Linked DNA regions of Arabidopsis thaliana. The protein of the gene in region 2 interacts with the protein of the main gene of each other region in a pairwise test. Each region holds a gene or a part of one and is shown on either strand. Other genes may lie near its edges.

What was found. Proteins that work in one complex are often made in the same cells at the same time.
Region 1: the proteins of MBD1 (region 2) and AT3G04930 interact in binary tests that used the Arabidopsis thaliana proteins (3 or more experiments, as listed by UniProt).
Region 3: the proteins of MBD1 (region 2) and IAA2 interact in binary tests that used the Arabidopsis thaliana proteins (3 or more experiments, as listed by UniProt).

Annotation. Positions count from the first base shown.
Region 1 is NC_003074.8:1,359,669-1,365,828, reverse strand, and holds AT3G04930 (DNA-binding storekeeper protein-related transcriptional regulator), read right to left. Parts: upstream 3,333-6,160; 5' UTR 2,801-3,332; coding exon 1,430-2,800; 3' UTR 1,210-1,429; coding exon of another isoform or gene 1,178-1,209; 3' UTR 1,030-1,177; downstream 1-1,029. Other genes in the region: CYSD1 (cysteine synthase D1), read right to left, coding at 107-148; AT3G04920 (Ribosomal protein S24e family protein), read right to left, coding at 3,764-3,793, 3,880-3,966, 4,164-4,334, 4,428-4,469, 4,769-4,840.
Region 2 is NC_003075.7:11,945,753-11,950,909, reverse strand, and holds MBD1 (methyl-CPG-binding domain 1), read left to right. Parts: upstream 1-2,105; 5' UTR 2,106-2,268; intron 2,269-2,390; 5' UTR 2,391-2,395; coding exon 2,396-2,515; intron 2,516-2,994; coding exon 2,995-3,489; 3' UTR 3,490-3,700; downstream 3,701-5,157. Other genes in the region: AT4G22750 (DHHC-type zinc finger protein), read left to right, coding at 298-511, 599-690, 796-925, 1,023-1,108, 1,213-1,275, 1,410-1,544. UniProt on the Arabidopsis thaliana protein: Probable transcriptional regulator.
Region 3 is NC_003074.8:8,179,617-8,184,495, forward strand, and holds IAA2 (indole-3-acetic acid inducible 2), read right to left. Parts: upstream 2,480-4,879; 5' UTR 2,331-2,479; coding exon 1,897-2,330; intron 1,805-1,896; coding exon 1,453-1,804; 3' UTR 1,030-1,452; downstream 1-1,029. Other genes in the region: AT3G23020 (Tetratricopeptide repeat (TPR)-like superfamily protein), read right to left, coding at 1-127. UniProt on the Arabidopsis thaliana protein: Aux/IAA proteins are short-lived transcriptional factors that function as repressors of early auxin response genes at low auxin concentrations.

The DNA.
Region 1 (6,160 bases), on a different chromosome or scaffold from region 2:
GACACAGTATGCAAGGAACTAAGTACATTTTACTTGAGCAAAGGAACTAGAACTTTATTCCAGTGAAGCAGTTGATTAAAAAAGACAACTGAAAGATTATGATTACTTGAGTTGCATCATCCTTGATCGAACACCGGTCCTCCTCCATGTCAAAATTCTTCCCAATTTGAGTTCTGAAGATCACAAGAAAATCAAAAAGATTTAAGACACAGTCTGCAAGCAATGTCCCTAATAATATAAAACATTCATATAAATCGAAGAGTGTTTTGAAACTGCATGAGATCCAAAATTGTAAAGTGAAACCAAAACCATGATTTAAGTTCAAACTCGAATATAAATCAGAGAAAAAAAAAAATCGAACAGCAGAAAACATGAGTATCAAACTAAATATAAGATTTAACAATGAAACAAGTGAGTGAAGCATTCGTGTTCTTGAGCTGAAATCGAACTTGAGGAGGCGAAATTATGAAAGTTTGAAATTTTTGGAGAGAGAAACAAAAGAACAGTTCGAAAGATACAAAACCAGAGACTTATAGAAGAGCTTACCAGTTCCAGATCCAATCGAAGAAGAAGAAGAAGAAGAAGACTGTCGACAAAAAGAGAGAACTGTTCTAGTGTTCTGTCAAATTAGCGATAAGCTTTTATAAAGTGAATTATTTGCATATACACACACACCATCATCCACCACCAAATATATCCACTCGTTTATACATTTATAAAAAATAATCATGTATCTTCCATAGGTATTTTGTTAAAATCATTGTATAAACTATAAAGTCAATAACAAACCTACCTAACATTCTTTGCCTCGTCACGTGGACAAGTTTCTGCCTTCTTGAATCTTTAAATTGTTTTGATTATGCCTTTTTTTTTTTACTTAATCAGGAAAGGAATCTTCTGATGCGTACTAGCAAGAAACACAACATTGGTTCTTTTTTTCAAACACAAAAGTTTTTAAGTAACTACATTAATCAACATGATAAAGAAAGAGGTCAAAGTTTAATACACTTCAATAACAGTATCCGATCTAGAAATAAACATGTTATTACAGATTTTATTAGACAAAGAAAGAGTAGCACACAATTTAGAATTATTATTTTTCTTCTTTTTGAAAGAAAAACAGCTAGAAAGTCTGTTTGTTATTGAACAAATGATTCTACGAAAAAAGAACTATAATCTAATACAAAAGGTTATACACAAACCCCCCTCCTATGATTCATCCCTATTGACAAATAATTTAAAGATAAGAAGAAGAAAAAAAAATCAAAATGATGAAAAAACCTAGAGAAAGATCACAATACCTTACCAATTTATAACTTAAAAAGATCCAAATCTCTTACTATACTCACTCACACACCAGAAGGTTAACTCAAAGATATCAAATATCAACCTAAATGGTTCCTTGTTGTCTTATTCTTCTCGCCCTTCATCATATACCACTCGGCATCGTCTTTAACTCGTTCAATGTCGTTCTAATCTGCTCTTGAACCAACTCTAATCTCCTTGAATACACTTCCAATTCCAGAATCTGTTGTTTCCTCCACCGCTCATCTGCAACCGCCTTGTTTCCTCCTCCCTCTACACCAAAACCGAAATTGAACGGCCGTGTAAACATGGGGCTTAGCGAGCCAAAACCATGACCACCACCACCACCACCACCACCACCAAGACCCGGAAACCCTCCTCCCATTGCAGCCATCATCATACTTGTTGTCCCATTCATCATCTCTTTGATCACAGGAGAGACACAGTTTTTCACAGTCTCTTCGATCAAACCCCCGAGATTTCCTCCAATACCAACAGCTGCAGCTTCGTTGAGGTTGACATTGCTAGCTATTGGCCCATCAGAGGGAGTGATGACAGGTTTGTTGTCTTCCTCAATCTTCCCAATTCTTGATCGTGATCGTTTTCTCGACACGCTACTGCTACTCATTGTCAATTTCTTCTCGATTCCATTTTCGGAGTCGAGCTCCAGAGTAGGATTAGAACTAGGGCTGTTAAAGGTTGAGTAGTTACCATTGGTGGTGTTATGATGGTTATTGGTTTCTTCGAAATCCATTACGTTGTTATCTTCAAAGCCTATGATTTTCCCAGTTTGGTTCCAGATTTTTCTAGAAATCTCGAAAGTAGACTGATCATGAGGGCTCTTGAAGAATACCTCTTTACCAGAGCTGATCTTGCTCATCACATTCCTGTACTTCTTCTTCAATCTCCGAAGCTTCTCCACCAGCTGGTTCTTGTTGAAATCCAGCTGAAGTTTCGACTTTATCTGCTCATAAAACGGCGCCGTATCCGGCGGATGCGAGCTGCTTCCGCGGTGCATCGTCATGTAATCGAGAAAACCACGAAGAAGCTCGATCTCGTCTTCGTCTGTCCACAGCCTCTGGAAAAGGCGTCTAGAATCATCGATCGGTGGTCTCTGATGGACGATCTCCGTCATACGGTGCCACTTCGGATCGGAATCAACGGGAATCACGGAGACAGGGACGGCGGATCCAGCCGGAAGTGCAACGGTCACGGCGCCTGTAGAGGAAGTCGCCGTCGGGGTCCCGGAAACAACAGCAGTCGCTGAGATCGTAGAAACCATGGGGAGTGATGATGTAGACGGAGAATTGAGATCTTCCTCTTCGGGATCGTCGTCTTCAGCTTCAGCTTCGTTCGTTCCCGGCATAACAACATCATCGTTGTCGCGCAAATCCTCGTCGGTATCAGATTCTCCTCCGTCTGCTACACCTCCTTCGTCCGGATCAGGCGATTCCAGTTCCAGAGAGAAAAGAGCGTCGCGGTGATCCGATGTCATCTCCACCGTAACAAATGAACGGAGAACAATTCGAGATCAGCTCCGATGAGATGGAGAAGAGACCAAGAAGAAGAGGAACCAGATCCAGATTGGAGAGAAGGTGGTGTGTTCGTTCACGAGGATTGTGATTGGGTTGGGTGGTAGGGGCGTGAGAATCTTCGACCAAACCAGGGGTAGTTTTGGTATTTCCAGACTTAACGTTTAAGACTAGGCAAAGTGGTCACCCACTACTTACACACACGCGCTTCCTTATTTGCGGATTGGTTGGAGCCGTGACGTCCTCACTCGGTCCCAACCACACTCGGTAACTAATAGCGTTTTCTAAACGCGGTTATTTGGTAGAGCGTTTTCATTAACGTGATTAGCTAGGACAAAACAAACAAACAAGCCAACCTAAACCGTATGTAACTAATAAGACAGTACCCAAAACCAAAATAAGCATATGTTGTGCGGTATAGAAAATTATAATTACTGTTCAAATTCAGTGATTGACATGTAATTATCACAGTTTTTCCATTAAAATAGTAAGGAGCAAAAGTGATATAATAAATTAGAAACTTTGCGAGATTTCATAATTATGATCTAAGTAAATTTTCATTATATGTGGGTAAATAACATCGATAATAGCCAGAGAGACTCACGTTTACAATCAAACACAGCCGCACGAGTAACCGATCAAGAATTAAATCACCTAAGGAACAAGAAAATGCTTATATCTGCTGCGCATGGGAATGGTGGAAAGAGACGAGAGAGAGATTAAATAGTTGTATTGAACAAAAACCTTGGATCATATGTTTCTCTAAACTCAAAACATAAACTGACCAAAACAAAAATAAACGAAAATCTCAGATTTCAGTAAACATGTCTAGTTGGAGAAACGATCTAACAGCGGACAAATAACATAAAAGGTGATTGATTATGGAGAACAAGAACCCACAAGATAAAGATTCTCTCTTCAGGATCTCACTTCTTCTTGGCATCACCAGCCTTTGTCTGCAAACATTGATCAAAACAGATTCTTAAAGCTACAGTCACAATCAAAAACAGAAGATAGCAAGAGGGAAAACCAGTATACATACCTTCTTAACACCACGGATTTTCTTCGCCCTGTTCTTCCTTTCCTTAATTTGTTTCCTTGACTTCTCAATCTTAGTGTCAAGTCCATTCTGCCAACCACATAGACAAAGCATGTTTAAGTATAAAGATGCAGAGAACACCAAGTGCAATACGATATAAAGTCCGAAACTTATCACATAGCTTATAATTTTCAGACAAACAGTAATGAGCAAGAGTAATGATTTAAGACGGGTCAATGTGAGTAGCAATATATAACAATGGAAACAAGAGTGGAAAAAGCATTTACCCTGATAAGTCTGTATTTGGGTTCAAACTTCTTAGCGCTCTCAACAGTATCATAGATCAAACCAAACCCGGATGATTTACCACCTCCAAAGTGGGTTCTGAATTTGAATACGAAGATTGCATTTGGATCCTTGACCTCGTACATCCTTGCTAGCTTCTCCTTCAGCTCAGCCTTGCAAAAATAAAACCAACTCTCCCGTTAGAACCTCTCATAGTCTATCAGAACTCGAAATAGATGAAGTAACAAAGTGAGTAAAGAACAAACCTTTGAAACATTGGCTCTTCCAGGGTGAAGAACATCAATAACCTATATTTTCAACAATCCACCATAACTTAGAATTTCATTCCAAAATCTCAAACGGAACTAAATTGCGCCAGATCAATACTATATGATCTAAACACTATCTATGCTTTAACATTAGGTCGTAAATCTGAAAGCCTGACCTAAAACATCAAACCCCAATTATAAAAATTTGACGAGACAACGAATGCATTCTCTCGAGATTGGGTTCATATCAAATTATAACTAGATTCCCATTAAAACAAAACCCAGAAGAACAAAAATGATATGCAGATAGAGAAGAGAAAAAAAATAATGGAACTCACGAACTGCTTCCTGGAGAGAAGTCTGTTGGTCATGAATTTCCTGGTTCGGATGGTGACCGCCTTTTCAGCCATTTTTGCTACTTCTCAAGGATTAAAGTGAAAGATCTCTGCAAGCTTGAGTGTTTTCGTCCGCTCAGGTGAAGGAAAGAGACGCCGAATCGAAGTCGGAGCTTTTATATAGTTACAAGTTCCTTAGGGTTTCTTTTGTGTTCTCTTTGTATGGGCCTCAACTTTTAATTTGGGCTTACTTAATCCTAGCCGTTTGGTTTTCTAGGTTTGATTAATAAACATTTACATGGGAAAATAAAACGAAGCCCACTGGGCCTAAAATATTTATAGCCTAGTGTCACAAACAATTGTCATTGGACATTGGTTAAAGTCTTTGTTTCCCCCACGCCACGAGTCAATATTTTCTGTACATAACACAAAACTGGGGTTCATTAATGCTACGAATTCAGCAATTTTGAGTTAGAATTAACCAATGTCAAACACTTAAGACTAAATGACAGTTTAATGTGTATATGTATAGTTGTGTTCAGCTGATTAGAACTAATTAACTTGTACTTTGACACTTAATATAAACTTTTGGGAAAAGAAAAACACAAACGGCTAAGAAACTTTTATTTTATTTTATTCGTTGTGCTTTGGTGTTTTACACTTACAATGTAGGGAATAATCATTTTTTGTCTTGTCAACGTGTTACTTTTACTATTTAACAAATAAGAATTGTTTGCCGGAGTTATTGCAAAGAAATATTATGAAACTTTTGGGAAAGAAGAGTAATTATTAAAGCTCAAAAGAAACTATTATAAAACAGAATATAATGTTTTGATCTTGTTAAGCCACGAGTGTGTTAAAATGAGTTGGCTTCCACCGCAAAAGATCATTTGAAGGTTGTACTGATCAGATTTCGACCATTCGCTGGAACATGTATAAATTTTAAGATCGCCAAATATATATATGAGGACAAAATTTAATAACACCATCTATTCGTTGATTATTAGTTGCTGGTAGTGATGAGACCCTCTTGCATTATATTCATAATAATGGATAGACACAAAATAATATATTTATAAAGTAACAAGGAAAATCTTGAGGGAAAGATTATAAGGACCGACAAGAAAATGAATGGAGGGAAGATATGAGAAGAATGGTTGGCACTGAACAAGTGTGTGTTGGAGTTGGGTACGAATAGAAGTACGTTGATCTGTACATTCAATACCCACATGCATGTCATCAATTAACGACCATTTTACCATTTTGCTTTCTTAGCCTATTATCTACTATTAAGATCAATTATTGTTATCTTCTTTTAATGGGTCAACCTAATTCAATTCTTCGTATGTCCCTACTGCCATTTTTCATTATCTTTTTTATTCGTTTTAGTTCCAT
Region 2 (5,157 bases):
TCTAGCTTGGCGTGTGGATTTACATTTGTGTCTGTTGGATTTTAAGTAACAGCAAGATGAGATAGTGAATTAGGATAGTATAAGCTAAGTAAGCAATCAAGTATTCATCTTTTTTTTTTTGGTTTGATTTGGTTGTAGTGTAGAGTGTCTTTGTTTCTTTTAGTTTTAAAGCTGTTGGTTTCTTGTGTGTTTTAATAGATTATCAACATTTGAACTCCCTCGCATTGTAGAACTCACAGAGGAAAGAGTAAGGAAGCAAAGGACTCATTTTTTTTATGATTGTTGTTTTGTTTGCAGCTTATAATGCTACTGTGGAGTTATTTCTCTGTTGTTGTGACGGACCCTGGTGGTGTTCCAACGGGTTGGAGGCCAGAATTAGACATAGAGAAAAGCGAGGGAAACCAAGCTTTGATTGGAGAAGCTTCGGTTGGAGATTCCTCGTCTCATGGTGTAAGATATTGTAGAAAGTGCAATCAATATAAACCGCCTCGTTCTCACCATTGTTCAGTCTGTAAGTCTCTTCAATGAGTGATTCTTTTCTTTGAATCCGGTATATGTGTTTTTTAGTAGTGAAAAAGTTGTCATATTGGGTTTTCAGGTGGAAGATGCATACTAAAGATGGACCATCACTGTGTTTGGGTGGTGAATTGTGTTGGTGCAAATAACTACAAATCATTTCTCCTATTCTTGGTATGTCAACTTATCATAGCATCGCTGAACGAAGTTGTTTTTGATATGTTCTGTTCATTAATGTTGCCATGATCATAATCCATTCCCAATATCTCAAAAATGCAGTTTTACACATTTCTTGAGACAACGGTGGTTGCAGTATCACTATTGCCAATTTTCCTCGTATTCTTCAGCGATGGAGATGGTGATATAACCGTATCACCAGGAAGCCTAGCAGCCAGCTTTGTTGCATTTGGTGAGTTCAAAGATATAGAAATCTCAGTTTCCGTTTTTGTTTCAGAACACCTTAACGTTACCATCTGATTCAAAAACTTCACTCTCTTGCTTTCCAGTATTGAACATAGCATTTGCCCTAAGTGTCCTAGGCTTCCTAATAATGCACATAATGTTGGTCGCTCGTAACACCACAACTATTGAGGTAAAGCAACAACTCTCACTTGGTTTTGCTCTTAACTTGGGTTCTCTCAGGAATCTCCATGTCAATAAACTCACTGACCAAACTAATGGTTTCTTTAATCTCAGGCGTATGAGAAGCATACAGTGAACTGGCCATACAACGTTGGTCGTAAGACAAACTTTGAACAGGTTCGCTCTCCATCTTCTTTGTTTCACTCGTTCTTCAGTGACTGATTCGTTTCCCCGCTACTTAGATAATATCTTTGACATCGAACACAATGAAAGCTTTAAAAAGTTTGGTCTCTATTCCTTTGTTGAATCAGGTTTTTGGAAGTGATAAAATGTATTGGTTCGTGCCATTGTACACGGAAGACGATAAGAAGAAGTTGCCAGCACTTGGAGGGTTAGACTTTACGAGCAGGTCGGAGTCCGAGACAGAGCCGCTTCAGTCTCTATGACCTTACAAACTTGAAATTTTTGGAAGTGTGTCTTCTGCTTTGTGTATGTATCAATCAAATATTATATCAAACATTGTCTTGTGTATTATAAAGATTAGTGCCTATTGTGGAATTTGTATCTTTTTATTTCGTGAAAAGAAATTTCTCAAACTTCTTAAATATACCATTTTCACATTTGCTTAAATATACCATTTTCATTTTTTCACTATTGATAATAATAACATGTTATTTATCATAAAAAATAAAAAAATCACGACACGTGAATGATGTACTGTAACTATCAAAGATTTGACGTACCACATACTTTCTGTATGTTTTTGATCGAATCAAAAATAATTATTTTTGTCCTTTTTTGTTTTATTGTTATTTTATAATGTAATACTTTTACTAAAATAATTTTTTTTAAAAACTAAATTTCTGGTCTATATAATTTTGGCCAAATATGTACATATTTAAAATCCAGAGTCAACCATTTAACAAACACTTGGAAATTTAATTAATTATTATGCCCTGTTTAGTAGAAAATCCATTAAAAATTACAGAAATGGTCTGCGTGTCGCATTGAACCAATCATATCTCGACATCTGTAAATACAGTTGGAGAAGATTTTTTCTTCTTCTGCTGGCCAAAAAAAAACATTGCATTAAAAAGGGTTCAAAGAAAAATTCTCAAATTCTCTAACAAAGAGCTCTGAGATTTTTGGAAATCTGAATCGTTGTTCGAGGTATGAACTTTTGGATCACTCTCCTTGAATCTGCTCTTTGATTCGATTTCGTACTTGAATTTCGCAATTTTGGAGTTTTCTCTCGCTTCGTTATACTGATCGTTTAGGGCTTGAAATTGAAGGTTTAATGTTACCATTTCCGGCAATGAACTTGAAGAAGTCTCGATCGGAAAACTCATCAGTTGCTTCATCTGGAAGTAAGATTGAGGAGCAGACTGAGAAATCAGCTGAACCAACAACCATTAAGGTAAACCTCACTAAACCTAAACCCGGTTTCAATTTTGCTTTGTGGTCTCTCTTTACCACACAGATCTTATCATTGAATTCTATCTCTTAATTAGGGTTTTAGTTGAGAATCTTAAGGTTTTTTTTCAACCAGTTTCGAAGACTTAGTTACTAGTGTTATTTGACGAACTGATGCAGACATAAAGGTTATAACTTTATTTCTCGTTGTGTCTTTGGCTGATCAGTTATGTATAAAATTTAATCAATATTTATGCTATTTAAGGTTTCGCAGTGACCCTTTTCTTCAAATTTGGTTTTTGATTCTGCATGTTCTCAGTATCACTCTTTTGGTGGTGTCCCTGTTTTGACTTTTGTGTTTCTCTACGCATGTTTTCTCATCTTGCTATATATTAAACGATTTGTAGTATGATTCTGTTGATCCAAGTAGCTTGTGAGTGACTGTTCTTCTTTTCACCGAGATTCCATATTTGTATTGTGCAGGTGCAGAAAAAAGCCGGTACTCCAGGGAGGTCGATAGATGTCTTTGCTGTGCAGTGTGAGAAGTGCATGAAGTGGAGGAAGATTGATACTCAAGATGAGTATGAAGATATCAGAAGTAGAGTACAAGAGGACCCGTTTTTTTGCAAGACGAAAGAAGGTGTGTCCTGTGAAGATGTTGGAGATCTAAACTATGATTCCTCCAGAACATGGGTCATCGACAAGCCTGGCTTGCCGAGGACACCAAGAGGGTTCAAAAGGAGCTTAATTCTGAGAAAGGATTACTCGAAAATGGATGCGTACTACATAACTCCTACTGGGAAGAAGCTCAAGTCTCGTAATGAAATCGCAGCCTTCATCGATGCCAATCAGGATTACAAGTATGCACTGCTTGGAGATTTCAATTTCACAGTCCCAAAGGTGATGGAAGAGACGGTTCCTAGTGGGATATTATCTGACAGGACCCCCAAGCCATCAAGGAAAGTTACAATTGATTGAGCTACATAGCGCTTCCCAGCTTCTTATGGTGTTGAAGTTGTTATTGGAGTCAGTTTTAGGTTTCTATCTGGTTTAGTCTTTTAAGGGTGTCGGACTTCTTACTGTAGAATGTTTCTTAAACTCATCTCTTTGACTCTGATTGGATCTTTATTTTCTAATGAAGGATTATCTTTTCTTCTCTTTTTGTTATGTCACAAGTCACAACTACATGAATCGCTCTGGTTTTCACTCAGTGTGTACAAACAAACACGACAAAGTATATTCAAGCAGCATGTGTACAACTTCTTCTACTCCAAGCGCACCCTCTGCTATAGCGTGCGGTGTGCAAGTCCTCGCTTATGGGCTATTTATCCCATTCAACATTGAGTATTGGTCATAACCTCTTGGGACTGAGAGCTTTATGAAAAGAAGCCTTAAACAATGATTGCATATTTGGGATTTTCAAAAAGAAGACTCACAACATAACTTTATGTATGTTTCCGCTCTTGGGTTTTCTGACCAGCCCTTGAAGCTAGTCCTTTCTCAAGGTTTTGTGTATGTTTCATTAGTTTTTGTTTGTATCTGGAGTCTACCGTTTATTAGAAGTTTAGGTTGCTCCTTCCACCGTCCTTACTCCTTGGTTTAGTTGAATAAGCAGTTTTCTCATGTGGTCTTACTTGGTATGTAAAGGCTAACCTTTTGTGGGCATGCAAAGTTCTAAATTTAGACTCTTTAGGATGAAGATTACATGGCTACAATTTTTGATTCTTATATGTGATTTTTTCTTCTTGTTATTCGTCGTATTTGGGGTCCTTTTTCGCGATTTACATTTGCCTCGAAGACTGCTTGTGAGCTTTTGTAGTTCTGCATCTACTGTTCTTTCCGCGCTTTCTGTTGACTGCGAGTGTGGTTTTCACATTATTTTGTTTGGTGGTAGCATTTTTTCTTAAACTTCGGTGGTTATTTTAAGTTATGTTCAAAGTTTTGTTTGTAATTTCGTGGTTCCGAATGAGTAGCGGCTTGATTATCCGTATTACTTTTGGGTTTGATTTTTCGAATCACTCTCGAGCTTTGTTCCTAATTTATGCAGTTTGTGTTCAACTTGTAACTTTTTTTGTATATGCAATCTAAGATTAATGTTTATAGAATTCATCTTAGATTGCCTAACGATATTTTGAATATGGCTTAAATCTAAGATTTAAAACGTACAAAATCATGCGGAAACTCATTTTGAACGGAAAAAACTCGATTCAACTAATGAACATATAAATTATAGAATAGATAAAATAAAATGGATTTAGAAAAACAGTAGAAAATATTTATAATTTTGCCATGTTTAGAAGAAAATCCATGAGTTTAAGACAATGAGCAAGAGAAAATTACAGAAACGGTGTCGAAGTTAACCCATCAGCCAATCAAACTGCGACTCCTGTAGAAACACAGTTCGAGAAGATTCTTAAATTCTCTTGCTGCATAAAATGGCTTAAGAGAAAATTTCTCAATTCCAACAAATATCTCTCAGATTGTTGGGAGTCCGAATCGTTGTTCGAGGTATGAACTTCAAATTCGATTACGGTGAATTTTAATGTTTGATTTTGATTTCTGATTGAATTTCAATTTCGGGTTCTTCGTTAGGTCTAGTTCGCTTCAGGTCTCTGGTTTTTTCTTCATGATATTTACGTTCCTGAG
Region 3 (4,879 bases), on a different chromosome or scaffold from region 2:
CTGGTACGTAATTCTGCTTCAATTTCTTGAAAGATGGGAATTTATCGAGAGGCGAAGAAATCGGTAAGGTTTTTGTAGAACAGAGAACATGTAAGCTACTTCCATCTAGACGAAGATTCAACAACATTTTTCAACTGCAACGAGCATTAGTTTATTCACTAGAGAAAAGGAAAAGAATTTGCACCGCCAATTGCGACGAAGGTGGTATATACTTCTCCGGCGAACGTGATTCTCTGTAAAATTCTGACGAGATTTTTTTCTGGCGTTGTTGCTAATGGATAAAATTGCGCGCGCAAAGGTCCTTTGTCCGATTGGAAAGAGAATACATTTGAGGATTAAATTGATAATTTCGTAATAGTTTAAGCCCTTAAAGGAAATAAAAAGCTGTAAACTCCTGAAGTTTTATTTATTTATAGAAAACAACTCTTTATATATTTGATTTCCAAATAATCCCAAAACCTTGATCATATGCACATAAGAACCCTATTAGAAGAGAAATGATTTTTTATTACTTGGTTCACATAATGAAAAAAACATACTTGAAAACTAGTCATTGGCGTTCGGTATTTTGGTTCAGTTCCGGTTCGAGAACTTCCCATGAGCCCTTTTGTAGTCTAAAAATCTATAATCTTAAATTGTGTTTTATTAATATTATTATGTTTTTATGTAATATTAATAACCTTTACCCTAGAAAAACTAATATTATTTTCTCAGTTTTATTATATTAAATTGTGTTTTTCAATTTCATATGTTATCAGACTTATATTATTATGTAATATTTTTTTACAATTGGTTGAATTGTTTAGGTTAGATATTAATTTCTGTTTTTAATATAACAAAATTATTACATAATAATTCTTGCAGTTTAGCTAAAACATCTAATAAGCTGAAGAGACAGAGTCATTTACAATTCATCAAAAAGAAAAATTGTTTTTGAAATCTTTTGATCGACAAGGCCTATCTATAGAATTGTGGATGTGTTTTGGGAAGGCATTATAGAAAATTTGTCTCATGTGGTGGTAAATGTTTTGCTGAATAAGTAAATAATAACCTTGGTTAAACTTTAAACAAAAAAAAAAGTTAATAAATAACCTTGGCTAAACAAATGTGTATAAGTTTCTGAAATTTAAAATATTATGTTCGTGATCAAGAACAGAAAACTGATGATCTTATAGGACATAACTACTTAATACATTATACATCTATAGATTGTGTATGTGTCCGTATTATACATAAAATCTCATGTATCTTTACATCAAACTTCAAATCTAAATACAAAAACAAAAAGAACATCACTAGAGATGGATCTCTCGTCGGACAAAACCCCGAAGTTTCGTCTTTCACGGTCAACTTTAGTCAAACTCCGATCCGAATCAAACCAAAAAGGGTTTTTCATTCATCGATCATAGTCATCATCTCCTTTTTAGACAAAAGATTCTCAGCTTCTCTGGATCATAAGGAAGAGTCTAGAGCAGGAGCGTCGGATCCCTTCATGATTCTGAGTCTCTTACAAGAAGAAGAGAACATGTCCCATGGAACATCACCAACCAACATCCAGTCACCATCTTTATCTTCGTATGTTGGTACAAATCCAGATCCTTTGTATCCTTCTCTCTCACAATATTCACCAATCATGACTTTGAACATATTCTCTAACGCTTTGAGAAGCTCGGGGTAGTTTTTGTATGTCTTGAGATCGATCTTGCGAAGGTAAGGAGCTCCGTCCATACTCACTTTCACGTAGCTCACACTGTTGTTGTTCTTACGGGAAGATCTCACTGGTGGCCAACCAACGATTTGAGTTCTGTAAATTTGAGGAAAGAAAGATTAGTAAAACTATTCAAGAGCCAATAATTTGAAAGAAGCCAATTTGAAACTCAGATCTCTTCTACTTACTTGGTAGGAGGTGTAGATTCTTCTTCATCACGAGTTTCCTCAAATAGACGCTTGTTGTTACTTTTAACGCAAGAAACCTCTTGTTCTTCTTTGATCTTCTCTGTTCTTCCGGGTAATCCAAGACATAGCTCTGTGTCCTTAAGGTTAAGCTCGTTGACTTTCTCGTACGCCATTGCTTTTGGATCAATATCAATCTTTGTGTTTCCTTCTTGTGTGTTTTCTTGGGTACTTTGTTCTTCTTGTCTTGTTCTTCTTCTTCTTGTTCTTGTTCTTGGTGAGCTGGTTGATGAGTTTTGGAGAAAAGGGGAGAGAGATATATATAAAGGAGCATCGAAGTTAGGGTTAAAGGAAGAGAGAGAAGTGTTGTCGGAAGCATGAAAGGCAAGAAAGAGGCAAGGGGACAAAAGTGGGACACGAAGCTTGAGGCCGCCCATGTGGACACGACTCTTTTGTTTAATTATTCCACGCTCCTCTTTTCCCTCCGCCAACTTTGTTTACGTTAACATCTTAGCCGTCCATCTCTATTGCCTCTTCTTTTTCTTTCAAAGGATGTATAATAATTATAACGAAAGAATATAAAAATGAATGAAATGATGAGAATTCTATCGGCCGACCCGGAATAAAAGCAAACAGAGAAAATATAAATAAAGTAAAGACTAAAGAGGTGTATTATAATAACATTTATTTACTGTTTCTTAAAGGTTTCTTCTTCTCTTTTTGAAAGTGTATAGTGCAGGTTATAAAGAAAATATCAAGTGCTAATGATTGTTAATCCATTTGTTGCATAATAGATATTCTTAATATATATTTAAATATAATGTGTTGTCTTAAAATTTGATGTGAAAGTTGATTATTATTTTTAGTTTACTTCTATTGATTTATTAATTTTTAACTTAAAAGATTAATAGATGTTTTGAAAGTATGATGTAAAAATTTCGATTCAGAAGAAAAAACGTATGGTGTAAAAAATGGTTAAAAGGACACTTATGTCAAATAAAGTACTATTTTATTGAATCCTGATTCCAAAATGAAGATTATTTAGAGTTTCCAAGTACTCTTATGTGTTACGAACTATTGAATGTGCATAAGTTGAATTTTATCATTTTTGCTCGTAGATGTAATTTGATTAATAAAGAAATATTAGTTTTATGGTTAAATCTCAGATAATATCGAATATTAAACGTTACATATTTGTCTTGCGAAGACATATTTATGCGTGGCATTTTGTATATTGTGAGTTGGAAAATGTTATAACATTTTGTGTGTAGATTTTGATTTTATAATAGGAGACGAAGACCCATGTGGATAAGGGTCAAATGTGTTGGTAATTGATAGAGGAATGGTAAAGCCATGTGCTTTCTTATGTGTATGTCTCTTTTAATTATTCATTTCCCTTCAAAATGGGTTGTGGGGGAGAGAGGTTCCACGTGCTATGTATTCATTGAATCATAAAACTTAAAAGAATGAACCAAAAAGTGGTAATTAATTTCTCCCCATAGATTACGCTTAACTATGTGCATTTAGCTTCTAATCCGCATGCGATTTGATGTTAACGTTAGGCTTTATTCAATGGATTTACCAATTTTGGATATTATTTGTTTTCTCTTCTTTTAAGATAAAGATTCCTTCTATGTTCTTGCCCCTTCCATCACCAAAAGATTAGATAAGTAAAAGCGATGCAAGATACGTTGCCTCTCTTCTTATAAGTAAATAATTTAGAGGTTCTGATTGTCAGAGTTTTATGTATTATTTCCAGTTAATAACGAACTCATGCAATGTATTTTCTCACAAACTGAGAGATGCACGAATGAATACCATTTGTCTGTTAAATATTGCACGAATGAATACTAAAGGTTAACCATTTACAGATTTCTAGAATCACTTAACATGGTGGGAAACAAACTTCTTGAGAATAGTTTTTTCCTGTTTGTGTGTTCATGCATGTTTTAGTCTTAGTGAAAATGTATTATAGAAACATAACTACTAGATCTATGTGATGCTTTATGCTTATATAGATGATTGCTAAAGTTATTTGTTGGTTAAACTAAACCTTTTTACTGAAAACCATTTAAGAAAGTACAAGAGAATTCAGTTACTGTTTATTATGGAGTTAATTCCATGAATATATATTGAACATTAAGTTTTGCCTAAAAAACAATATTGAACTTAAGCCAAATACATAAATCATTTTTAGATTATTTTGGTCTCTGTGGTCAATTTAATGTATTAATTTATGTACTGAATCAACAGTTGTTTGTTCTTTTATGTTAATATTTGATATTTTTTACTCTACAAGGACTACAGATTCTGATGACAATTTTAACGTACATATCTTGAAGAGGTACGTGAATAACTATATGAACTAGCTAATAGATTCTTAATTTTTTTTGGTTAGAAATATTAACCGTGTTTTAATTATCATGGTAAAAATGTTAATTATTTTCTACTTTAATTTCTCGTTTATTCAAAAAAAAAAAGTATGTCATATATGAACAATTTTGAAATTTAAATATAGTATGTTTTACTTGATTATAGTTTCATACCAAAACATTAAAATATTTTTGAGAATTTTAATTTAATATCTGTAAAACGTAGTTTAGTATGTTTGACATGACTATAGTTTCGTTCCAAAACATTAAACTAATTTGAATGTTCTAACGAATTCAAAACACATATAGGCACCCAAAACAAAAAAAAAACATGTTATTATAAAGATGATGGAAATAATAATATAATGCTACGTTTGAAAGAAAACGAGTAAGTTAAAGATGAGGAAGAGGAATGATATGTCGAAACACACAACTTGTCTTGTGATGCATACACAAGCTACACTCCAAAGAGTCGTGTCTTTTGCAAATCACATTCGTGTGTAGCTCAAAAAAGTTGGCTCTTTAAATTATTAAAGTTTGTGTGTTCCTTTTTCGACTCATCCCTATCATCTTATCTCCATTTTCTCTCTTTTTATTTTTCATATATATATATA